Schizosaccharomyces pombe: one gene and its partners. The protein of the gene in region 1 binds, or shares a complex with, the protein of each later gene. Each region holds a gene or a part of one and is shown in the gene's direction. Other genes may lie near its edges.

Region 1 (3,812 bases):
CAAAAATCGATTTTATAGCTCAAAGCTTGCGAACGACCAATTCACGCTTCAAGAGCAATGTGACGAGAAGGGAATCCCTTTTATTTTATACGTGAAAGATTCAGCGAAAAAACAGTTAGAAAAAATTGCAGAAAGGAAACCAGAAGAAAACTCTGTTTTGCGCGTCACTGTCGATGGTGGTGGATGCCATGGATATCAAGTATCTTTTCGCATGGACAACAAAATTGGAAATGCTGACACGTAAGTGATGTGGTTAAGAAGACTATAAGTTTTAATTAAGTATTTCCTGGTTATTGACTAAATATCTAGGGTATTTGTGCGTGGAAAAGCCAGGGTTGTTGCTGACAACATTTCATTACCTTTGATAAGTGGCTCTGAAATTGAGTATACAAATGAACTTATTGGTTCCTCTTTTCAACTTTTAAACAATCCACGTGCCAAGACTTCTTGTGGTTGTAATGTCAGTTTTGATGTTGAATGAGATTTATACTTAAAATAATACATTTCTCTTATAATCACTTTTCTATTTATCAAATATAGTTTAACAAAAACTCTGCTTACAATTTTTTGCTAGTATGCCAGTAAGTAAACCAAAAGATACAAATATAAAAGTGTCATCAGTCAAATCGATCGAGTTGTTGACTAATTGAAATTATTGCTCAAAAAATATAATTAAATATTAATAGTCTATTCTCCAATGATCTTTCTAACACGACGGAGGATACTGTCCTTTTCAGGATCATAAGGATCGTCTTTGCTAGGAATTTCCAATACAGCAGGGAATGCCTGCACATGGTTTTCAATACGATCACGTATTCTTTCAGCGGCAAACTGGTTAATCAATACAATCGCAATATCCTTCCTTTTCGTAGTATAATCATCAAAAGCTTCAGCAATCTGCTCATCTGTAGTCTCTACATAAAACAGCAAGTTAGCGAAAACACGATTCCATTTTTTAACAGATAATCTTACTCTGAGTAATTATAAAAAAGTTTTTGTCACCGTTTTCATTTACCTGACCAGTTCCAGCTAAAAGCATCCCAGTAACGGTATCATCGTCTCCAATTACAGAAACAAGTGTCCGTTCTCGATATGATTGTGAAGACATGATTTAGAGAGATAAGTATTTAGAAAATCTAGGTAAACGTCCAAGCAGGAAAATAGGAGAGTATGGTGCTACTTGAAAGCGCAACTTCTGGACTAGTAGGCGATTAAAAGTGTTCAGTGGTTGAATCGTAAATTTTCACAAAGCTTAGATAAATATTTAACAGAAAGCTATGGCTCTGCCTCTACAATCCTCAAATGTATTCCTGAGTTTAAGTAGTGATGGTGGATGAAAGTGTAAGGTCCAATACCGATAAGACATATCTGACACTTAACTAAGGTACCTTTTATTATGAAGACTTCTGTAATTAAGAATATGATATTATTATAATAGGAATTTGTGAAAATTCGACTCCCATAAATTGTTCAACAAATATCATTATGCAAATAAACTGATGAATGTAAAAATAATAAGATGGCCCAGATGACACAAATAGGATTATTTTAAAACTTAAATTATAATATTCAATTATTTTACTTTCAAAGGCTGCGAAGTAAGTACTTCGATATAATCCAATGCCGTAAAGCATACCAAGAAGGATATAAATATAGATGAGAAATCAGTTAATTATTATCTGTTGAGAATGAAGCTGAAAAGAATAAATTAATAATTGATAAGCATATGAGCCGTTGTTGGCTTCCAGTGTTGAGCAAATTCGAAATTTGGGTTGCTTTCCTACATGCATGTTCAAACCTACAATCAATTTGTTACATATCGAAATAGAAGCTTTAATTTGAGAAAAAAGTGTCATTTATATATTTTTTGAATCAGCTTCCATCTCAAAGTCCATACCTCATTTAACGAAACATAACGAATTTTTAAGTTGATGAAATTGATATTTGTAAAATTTAACAGTGCTAAGTTCACAACACCATTTGTCTATAGTGTGACACAGTTGTCTTTTACCACAAAGCTCTCACTGAAACAATGCTTGGGCTTGGAAGAGTATTTTCATCCGCTGTACGTCCTCGGACGCTTATTCGAGCACCCATTAATAAACGCAGTTTCCTTTGGTACTCAACTGAGGCTGCTAAGGAAGAAAAGCCTGCTGAAGAAAAAGTTGCCGAAACAGAGAATGTTGATGTTAAGGAACTTCAATCTAAGCTTTCTGAGCTTAAAAGTAAATATGAAGCAAAGGACAAAGAGGTTGCGGAGTTAAAGGGTAGCATTCGCCAAAGCTTAGCTGACTATCGTAATTTGGAAAACCGCATGAAGAGAGACATGGAGCAAACACGTGCATTTGCTGTTCAAAAGCTTACTAAGGATCTTTTGGATTCTGTCGATAATTTGGAGCGTGCTCTTTCAATTGTTCCAGAGGAGAAGCGTAACAATCGTGAGTCCAACAAGGATTTAGTTGATCTTTATGAAGGTTTAGCAATGACTGAATCGAACTTAATGAAAACCTTAGGAAAATATGGTTTAGTTCGCTATGACGGTATCGGAGAAGATTTTGATCCTAACATCCATGAAGCTGTTTTCCAAATCCCTGTTGAAGGTAAAAAGCCCAACACTGTCTTCCATTGCGAAAGCAAGGGTTTTCAATTGAATGGAAGAGTTATTCGTCCTGCCAAGGTTGGTGTTGTTAAGGGAGACGACTAGAGGAGCTAGTCAAAGATGATAGCAAGGAGCATACGAATACGTCGTTTCACCTATATTATTTTAATGACCAATTCGGGGTTTTTTTTTATTTTTAAACTCTCAATGTTTGTCTGGAAAGTCCTTTGTGGTATTATTGGATTTTTTCAGTCTTTTCAGGGGAACCAGAAGTCTTTCTGTGCAGATGCTTTTTTCTGCAAACTAATAGTCAAAGACAGATCGTAAAAAGTTTCATTGCATTTTTTGGGCTATGGGTACATTATTATATTTTTACCGAGGGGACTTGAATCCAATGTTTTTGTGTGGTTTGGGTTTATTGTTTAGTGATTTGCTATCACAACATAGTACCTATTTTTACTTACATTTATAAATAAAATTTTTACTCTTTAATACTATAGCTTTCACCCAAACTGGTTAAAGAATTTTGATATTTCCTTCTAAAGATTACTCAAAAGCATTTCTTTAAGAGTTAAAAGTGGAACCAAGTGGAAGGTATGTATTCTATCATTTAGTTTTATAGAATATTAAAGTTCCGAAAGTTGATATGTGCTTTAACGGTTAAGCCTCCTTTTCAAGTATTCGTAGAAGTTAAGCTAGTGTTCTGTATTACAAATTAGTAAGGAATTTTGACTAGTTTAGATGATTTTTTTGTTTTTTATAAAATAGATATGTAATAACAAACTTGCTAATAAAGTATTGATTGGAAGCAGCTAGCCTGTTCGAACTAAGCCATAGTATAAGACATTACTCAATCAGCCTAATCTAATAGATAGATATTCAAAGTTACAAATGATAAGCATGAGATCGTTTGTGGGTGATCCCGTTGCTTTTAACTTTATTAAGAATCTAGTCAATGAATAGTTTTTAATCCAGCACTGATATCGTCAGAATTGCATATTCGAGAGATATATTCATTTTTTCCAGCTCAGTAATTACACTATTACTAAATAAACTCACTTCTTAGCGATACACTACCGCAAGGGTTTACGTCTTTATTTAGATCAAGAAATGGTGCCTTGCATACTACTCGAACGTGGTGTAAAATTTACCCTTACACAATAAGTGTTGCTTGGCAACACGTTTTGCTTTCTTTCCTTCTATAGAGTTTTCA
Region 2 (3,652 bases), on another chromosome or scaffold:
AGAGTTTTGAATGCTGCTAGAGACCCCAATGTTGGGATTTACATTACTCATGAAGAATACTTGCATCTAGGTTTAGAAAGGCTAATCCAACGATTTTCGTGTAGACAATTATATGGCCTCGCTGTTCAGGCATCTATGTGGATGCAGATTCCGTGTGATTGGGTCTACATACAATGGGCTCAGACGTACATAAAGCAATCTAGTGAACCAGAGGAGGTTGTATTGGATAATATTGTTAAACGACTTTCGTCCAGAAAATACATATCATATGAGAAAATTGCTCGCACAGCTTATCAAGAAGGTCGACTAATTCTTTCAACAAAGCTCTTGGATTTCGAGCCTTTAGCTAAGCATCAAGTAATGCTATTGTTAAACATGGAAGCATATGAGCAAGCTTTAAAAAAGGTAATAGAAACTATGGACAATAACCTGATTATTTACGTTGTGCTTCAAATCAAACAACAAATGGCAATAGCGTCTTTCTTTCAAATTTTAAATGAGTATCCTGATGCAGTTAAGGTTTACGTTGAATTTGCCAAAAAGAATGATAGAAAAACTTTACACGACTTCTTTTACCAGGACGATAACAAACAAGGAATCGCTGTTTTAGCGGTAGAAGATACTTTAAAAACTGCGACAGTCAATCAGCGCATTACCTCTTTAAAATCAGCAGCTAAAGTTTGTTCAGAATCCAAGGAACTATCACTTGAAGAAAAATGTTTGGGAGATGAAATAAAATTATTACAATTACAACAAACTTACGAGGATCAATTCACTGGTAATTTTGTTGGGCTAACAGTAAATGAGGTTGTTGTTAAATTGATTCAAATTAATCAAACACAAAGAGCAAACAAATTGAGGTCTGACTTTCAGATTCCTGAGAAGAGATTTGCTTGGCTGAAATTAAGAGCTTTGGTAGCCATCCGTGATTGGGTTCAGATTGAACAATGGGCAGGCTCTATGCGAAGATCGCCAATTGGTTTTGAGCCTTTTGTTACAGAAATCCTTAGTGCCGGAAATAAAAAAGAGGCTGCTAAATACATACCACGATGTACTCAGCTTACTACACAAGAAAAAGTGGATATGTGGGTTCAAGTTGGGGACGTGAAAAGTGCTAGCGAAGAAGCAGCCAAATCAAAAAGCGGGAGTGTTCTTGGTGATCTTTTAGAAAGGGTGCAGACCATGCCCGAAAGTCGGTTTGTTCAGAATGCACTTGATCAATTACGCCGATGACTATTAGAGATATCAATACCAATCTTTTTTTTTTAGGATAAAAAAAAAGATATAAATATTAATGACAAGAATCCATGAATGAAAAGCAACCCAATTGAATTTAGAATAATTTGGATATTTACCGTAAAATAGTTAGTTTTTTTTGTGAGCTAGTTTATATTAATTTTAACAAATTATTTTACAAGAAATATAAAACCCTGAATTTTATGTAATGCAGATTTTTATTAGTAGGATTAAAAGTTGTTATTTATTGGCAACTTAAGCATATACAAGGAGAACCAGCTTTCTTCCTCCACTATCCTCAAGGTATTGGGAATTGAGGAGAATATATATATTTTTGGTTACTTCTTTCACATTAAATAAGTTTTGAGATATAACAAATGGTATGAGATTTTTTTTTTGCCTCACTAACTAACTTATTTTTGATTAGTCGTCTGCTATTCTCCTTGGAGTCGGTATCGCTGCAACGGCTGCGGCAGTATGTGAAAACAGAAAATAAAAGCTTGACATTTGAAATGCTAATGACTTTAGGGGAAAATTGGTGTTGACGCATTCAGAAAATACCGGAATTTGAATGGCGGAGTAAAGGCCTTTCTCAAGGGTGGTTTTGAGTCAAAAATGTCTAGGGCAGAAGCCATTCAAATTCTGTCATTGAACAACCGTACTTTAACTCGACAAAAAATAAAAGAGGCTCACAGAAGGTTGATGCTTGCAAATCATCCAGATCGGGGTGGTAGCCCTTATGTAGCCAGCAAGGTAAACGAGGCCAAGTCACTTTTGGATGCAGATCGATCAATCCGAAAATTTAGTTCATGGGCACTCCCTGTTTCTAAGCAGCGATCAATGCCTAGTGTTCTTGAAGCGGTGAAATGGCTTGAATACAGCTCCATACCGAAAGCTTAAAAGTGATGAATAATGGTCTGCATCGTTGTTAATATTATTATGTGCTGTATCTGCTGGAGAACTAATGTTTTCTTGCTAAAATTTAGCTGAAAGCTATGATGCCCTTAATAGAACTAATCATTGTGTGAATTATTGTTTGCTTTTCCAAAAAACTTTTACTATTCAGTTGCAGACACCTTTTGTCAATTTATTTTATTTTTTGCTTCTAAAGATGTGTGTTTGCTCCGTATAGTACATCGCCTTCGATTCTTTTCGTACTCTTATATCAATCCTTTTTCGGAAAATGCGAAGGAAACCCCGAAATTGTATTTTTTTTTCTTTCTCTACGCTGGAGCTATTTAGTAATTTGATTTCGAGCGTCAATGATTTTGTCTCCTTTTTGATGGTTGTACCGAGTGTTAATAGTTTAACTCTTTTTTAGATTAAATTTGAGTCTCTCATATGTTTCCGGACACTTACTTTCCAAAACGTTTTCAATGGAAAATTGTCAGGTTCTTTTCCATGCATTCCGAGTATCAATTCACAACAAGGATAAGTTAAAAGAAGAATTCGAGCATTTGATTTCCTTAGTCGTAAACAATATCATTCCTTACAAAATGTATACTCTTTGAAATGATTTTAGTTTTTGACTTTTGCGCTTTGAATGACATTGTTAAAACCTACTTCAGTAACAGTTTATATGAAGTATGTTTATTTAAAAATTTATTTCATAATCATAATTAAAAAAAATGAATTGATTAATAAACATCGAAATTTCGCTTCTAACAATGATTATTAACACAGAAGCTGCCTTTACATATCACTCTGACGTTACCGTATATAAGTGCGTACTGTCAAATTTTTTTTGACTTAAACAAATACGTTCTCTAAGATTTTGTTTCTTAGTAGAGTAGGAAGTTTAGTATATTCATTTTTTTTTAAAGTGCATAAGATAATAAGAAACGCGATGTCTTTTCATATTACGCCCATATGGATGTGGAAAGGAACGGGCAACAACTATGCCTATTTGCTGACTTGTGATAAAACCAAAATCACTGCCATCGTCGACCCTGCTGAGCCTGAGAGGTAAGTGAAGAGAATGAAATAACGACTTAAATACTGTTATCTGTGATTTCGGAAACATGATTTTCTCCTCCTGTTTTCCGAATTGTTTTGTTTGTGCGCTCCGTAACATTTAATTAACCAAACTAACATTGACAAACTCTAGTGTTATTCCTGTCATAAAAGAGAAAACGGCGAAGAAAGAAATTGATTTGCAGTACATTCTGACCACTCATCATCACTATGATCATGCAGGCGGCAACGAAGACATTTTGAGCTACTTTCCTTCTTTAAAGGTCTATGGCGGAAAAAATGCATCTGGTGTCACATACACTCCCAAAGATAAGGAGATTTTCAAGGTTGGAGAAGTTCAAGTTGAGGCTCTTCATACGCCATGCCATACCCAAGACAGTATTTGTTATTACGTTTCCTCTCCTTCAAAAAGAGCCGTGTTTACTGGAGATACTCTTTTTAC
Region 3 (3,518 bases), 3.1 Mb from region 1:
TAAAAAATATGAATCCATTTTTTTAAGTTTTTCATTCATCAAATATATATTATATTTATGTTTCTACTTTATTTAGTATGCTTGGTTATCCGTGGACTTGTTAAGCCTCACGCAAACTTTCCCTACTTACCTATACTTTACTGATTCTGCCCACACTACAACTCCCTGTTGATTTATTTTCATCTTGTATCAAATTTGAAGATGTCAGATCGTGAAGAAAAGCTAGCTGCAGCTAAACAAAGGGTATGCATAATATTTTGTAACATTTAACTTACGAGTGCTAGTTGCTGGAGGTCAAGAAGAAAAAACGCCAAGCTAAATCTAAAAATTCAGTTGCCGAAGATAATGTTGACCGCGAATCTAATGATGGCAATAATCAAGTAAATGAGCCTACAGGCAATGACAATACTCAAGTAGTTGAAAACACTGAGGATATTTCTGCTTCGAATGTAGTTTCAGCTGAAGGTGCTGAGGCATCCACCGGCGATGCTTCTACTCAGTCTCCGGAAACATCTGAAAATGTCGTTAAAAATTCTGTAGATGAGTCGGTTGCGGAGAAGCCTGAGAAGGAGGATTTAGCGGTAATAGAAAGTGAGGATAAAGCAGCCAAGCCTGATGGTGAAATAAAAAAGAACGTTGAAACAGAGGTCACTTCTCGAAGTACAAGCAGTCAAGAAAAAGATGAACTAGAAAAACAAGTAAAAACCCTGCATGATCTTAATGAACAAAAGGATAAGAAAATCAAAGAATTAAAAGAACGCATTAACGACTTAACTTATGATTATGAAACATTAAAAGCTAATGCGGATGACAGTGAAGGAAAGCAGACACTCGTATCCAAAAGAGAAGCCGCTCTTGAGGAATTCCAGTCAAAACTGTTAATCAGAGAGAATGAGATTAATAAAAGAGAACTGAAGATGAATGGAAAAGAAGATGATCTTAAAAAACGTGAAAAGGACCTTGAAAATCGTCTATTAAAGGTTGAAGAACATGAGAAAAGTTTAAATGAACGTGCCACGAAACTCAGTGAAGCTAACGAGAATTTCAATAATCGTTTCAAGGAGTTTGAGGAGCGTGAAAAATCCGCGATAAAGCAAAATAAAGAACAAAGCTCTGAAGGCTCTAAAACTGCTAACCAAACTCATGAACAAAAGGAGTTGATCAACTCATTGGAAAAAAAGGTTTCGGACATTGCTTTAGAAAAGCAACTTTTGGAAGAAGCTGTTGAACGTTATAAACTAGCGATGGTTGAGTTTGCGGAATGTCAAAGAAGGCTGAAGGAACTTGAAGCGATGCATTTTGAACAGCCTGGCTCCGTGACCGAGAAACTTTTTCCAGATCCTACTAACTTTGAGGTAATCGATAACGTTTCAATTGACTTGACATTGACTGGATTTCCCGGTGCTCACGGCATTCCTTTTTCAGTATGAAGTTAAAGCTTTAATATGATATTTATTATTAAGTCACTATGTTTAAGCTCCATTACCATACTGTTTCAGCGAGTATAAGAAGCCCTAATGAATAAGATGATTTGAATTTACAATCAGTTTACATGATCTTTGAATTGTGACGAGTAGTAAAACAAAGTAAAGAATATAAAGCAAATTCATAATATATTAATATTTTTTTGTCTAAAATAGTGAACTTTATGCTTCTTATTATTAAATCAAGGTTGTAATTTGGAAGTAGTATTAGATTCTTTGATATGAAATCTGCCTTATAAGGAATTTTTACCACCACCCTTTTTACAAGAAAATTTGTGAAAATTCCTGTTTAGGGCATGTGTATGTCTGAAAATAAAATAAAGGAAGACATTTATCATAATTATTTGTTCAAAATTACTATATTACATTAAAAAATGTCGCTTCCAAGGGCTGTCGGTCGATTTATAATTGTTGGTTCGCAAGGTATGTTTGTGGCCATTCTCCTATCAAGGATTTATTCAAAAGATTAAAAACCCTAACAATATTAGTAATGAGCAAAGCTTTTGTACAAGCTTATAAGCAAATGATTGCTAATGCAGCTCAACAAAGTACTGGTCAAGCTGCTGCTTCCAAATCATCAACTGCTGTTCGTCGAGGTGAAATGACTATTCAAGAAGCTGGTAGCATTTTAAACATTAAGCCAGAATCATTAGAAGAAGGAGAGTTAGAAAAACGATTTCAAAAAATGTTTGAGATTAATGATCCTAAAAAAGGAGGATCTTTTTACCTCCAGAGCAAAGTGTTCCGAGCTCATGAAAAATTGAAAAGTGAACTGGATCAAAAAATACAAGAACAATCCCCAGCGAAACCAACCAGTTCACCTTAAAACTTTCTTTGATTTTGGGTTGCTAGCTATTGCTACGTATTTACCGACACGTCTACCTTAATTTAATGTAAAATGGAATCTATCTTTTTTTTTTTTTTAAGAAAAAAAGAAGCAATGGGATATATTTTTGTTTACGAATAGTTGAAGAAATGTGAGGAGGTTGATATCCTCATATTTTTTTGAATATGCCCTGTACTATGATAAAAGGAAAATTAACACTAGTCTAGCTATCCACATACCCTCAATGCCGTTAAACCAGAGCCATATATTGTCAATGTGATGAGAGATGTACATTGATATGGATTGACTTCAAACGAGAGCCTGAGGTTAAGCCAAAACTTACTTTTCGACTTTTAACTGTCGCTGGCCAATCCTTAAAGTTAGACTGGGCTGCGGGCACCATGAAGAGATCAATAATCTAATCTATTCCCAGATATCAATCATTACACACTACTATTGAAATACATTTTGGTTACAAATAATGAATAAGACACAAAAAAAAGAACCGTTAAACTAATATATTTAAAGAATATAAGTTCCAGTTGAGCAAATGATAAAACATTCTTTTATGTAAAACAAGAAGACTATTGGGCTATAGCAAAAAGTATACGGTAAAATCATTCGCCCAATTATGGATAAAAAAAGATATCATGGTTAAGCACAGTCGATTTTGGGAAAGGAAAAAAAAATGAGTGCAAACAACCGTGATACTATTTTGAACTTTTTTCTTAGTAAAGAAAATCCGTTTTTTTGTTTACTAATACAAAAGCCATGATATCCTCACAACATTTGGTATTAAATGAAGCGAATAATAAATTCCTAGAACAGACAAGAGAAGAAGCAAAGAATACACATGTCTATTTCACTTTCCTTTATAAACATGATAAGTAGCGAAAAGAACAAATATTAGAGGATTGAAATAGAGGGATGCTTAGTATTTTAAGATGATATAGAGAGCGTGAATAATACCGGGAACGTAACCAAGACAACAAAGAAGAATGTTGATAATAACGTCAGCACCACAGCCACGTTCCAAGAAAACGCCCAAGGGAGGGAGAATAATGGCGAAAATTACCTGTGTCATATATTAGCATTGAGTCAAAAAGAAGCGAAATTTTTTTTTTATAATACCAAAAAAAAAAATTTCGTAGTAAAATGTAGCTATAAAAGAGAAAGTAGAAACCAAGACACTTGGCGAAATCAATTTG

The links.
Region 2: mge1 (region 1) and tim14 share a complex: the UniProt entries of both Schizosaccharomyces pombe proteins name them as parts of the PAM complex.
Region 3: mge1 (region 1) and tim16 share a complex: the UniProt entries of both Schizosaccharomyces pombe proteins name them as parts of the PAM complex.

Annotation. Positions count from the first base shown.
Region 1 is NC_003423.3:4,020,515-4,024,326, forward strand, and holds mge1 (GrpE domain-containing chaperone mge1), read left to right. Parts: upstream 1-2,002; 5' UTR 2,003-2,032; coding exon 2,033-2,704; 3' UTR 2,705-3,258; downstream 3,259-3,812. Other genes in the region: Fe-sulfur protein Isa2, read left to right, coding at 1-240, 310-481; vma7 (V-type ATPase V1 subunit F), read right to left, coding at 688-914, 973-1,108. UniProt on the Schizosaccharomyces pombe protein: Essential component of the PAM complex, a complex required for the translocation of transit peptide-containing proteins from the inner membrane into the mitochondrial matrix in an ATP-dependent manner.
Region 2 is NC_003424.3:1,693,489-1,697,140, forward strand, and holds tim14 (TIM23 translocase complex subunit Tim14), read left to right. Parts: upstream 1-1,527; 5' UTR 1,528-1,613; coding exon 1,614-1,616; intron 1,617-1,643; exon of another isoform or gene 1,644-1,663; coding exon 1,664-1,711; exon of another isoform or gene 1,712-1,764; coding exon 1,765-2,136; 3' UTR 2,137-2,996; downstream 2,997-3,652. Other genes in the region: HOPS complex subunit Vps16, read left to right, coding at 1-1,233; hydroxyacylglutathione hydrolase Glo2, read left to right, coding at 3,083-3,201, 3,344-3,652. UniProt on the Schizosaccharomyces pombe protein: Essential component of the PAM complex, a complex required for the translocation of transit peptide-containing proteins from the inner membrane into the mitochondrial matrix in an ATP-dependent manner.
Region 3 is NC_003423.3:884,758-888,275, forward strand, and holds tim16 (TIM23 translocase complex subunit Tim16), read left to right. Parts: upstream 1-1,735; 5' UTR 1,736-1,858; coding exon 1,859-1,907; exon of another isoform or gene 1,908-1,972; coding exon 1,973-2,310; 3' UTR 2,311-2,890; downstream 2,891-3,518. Other genes in the region: SPOM_SPBC713.09 (uncharacterized protein), read left to right, coding at 202-243, 285-1,430; plasma membrane proteolipid Pmp3, read right to left, coding at 3,242-3,385. UniProt on the Schizosaccharomyces pombe protein: Essential component of the PAM complex, a complex required for the translocation of transit peptide-containing proteins from the inner membrane into the mitochondrial matrix in an ATP-dependent manner.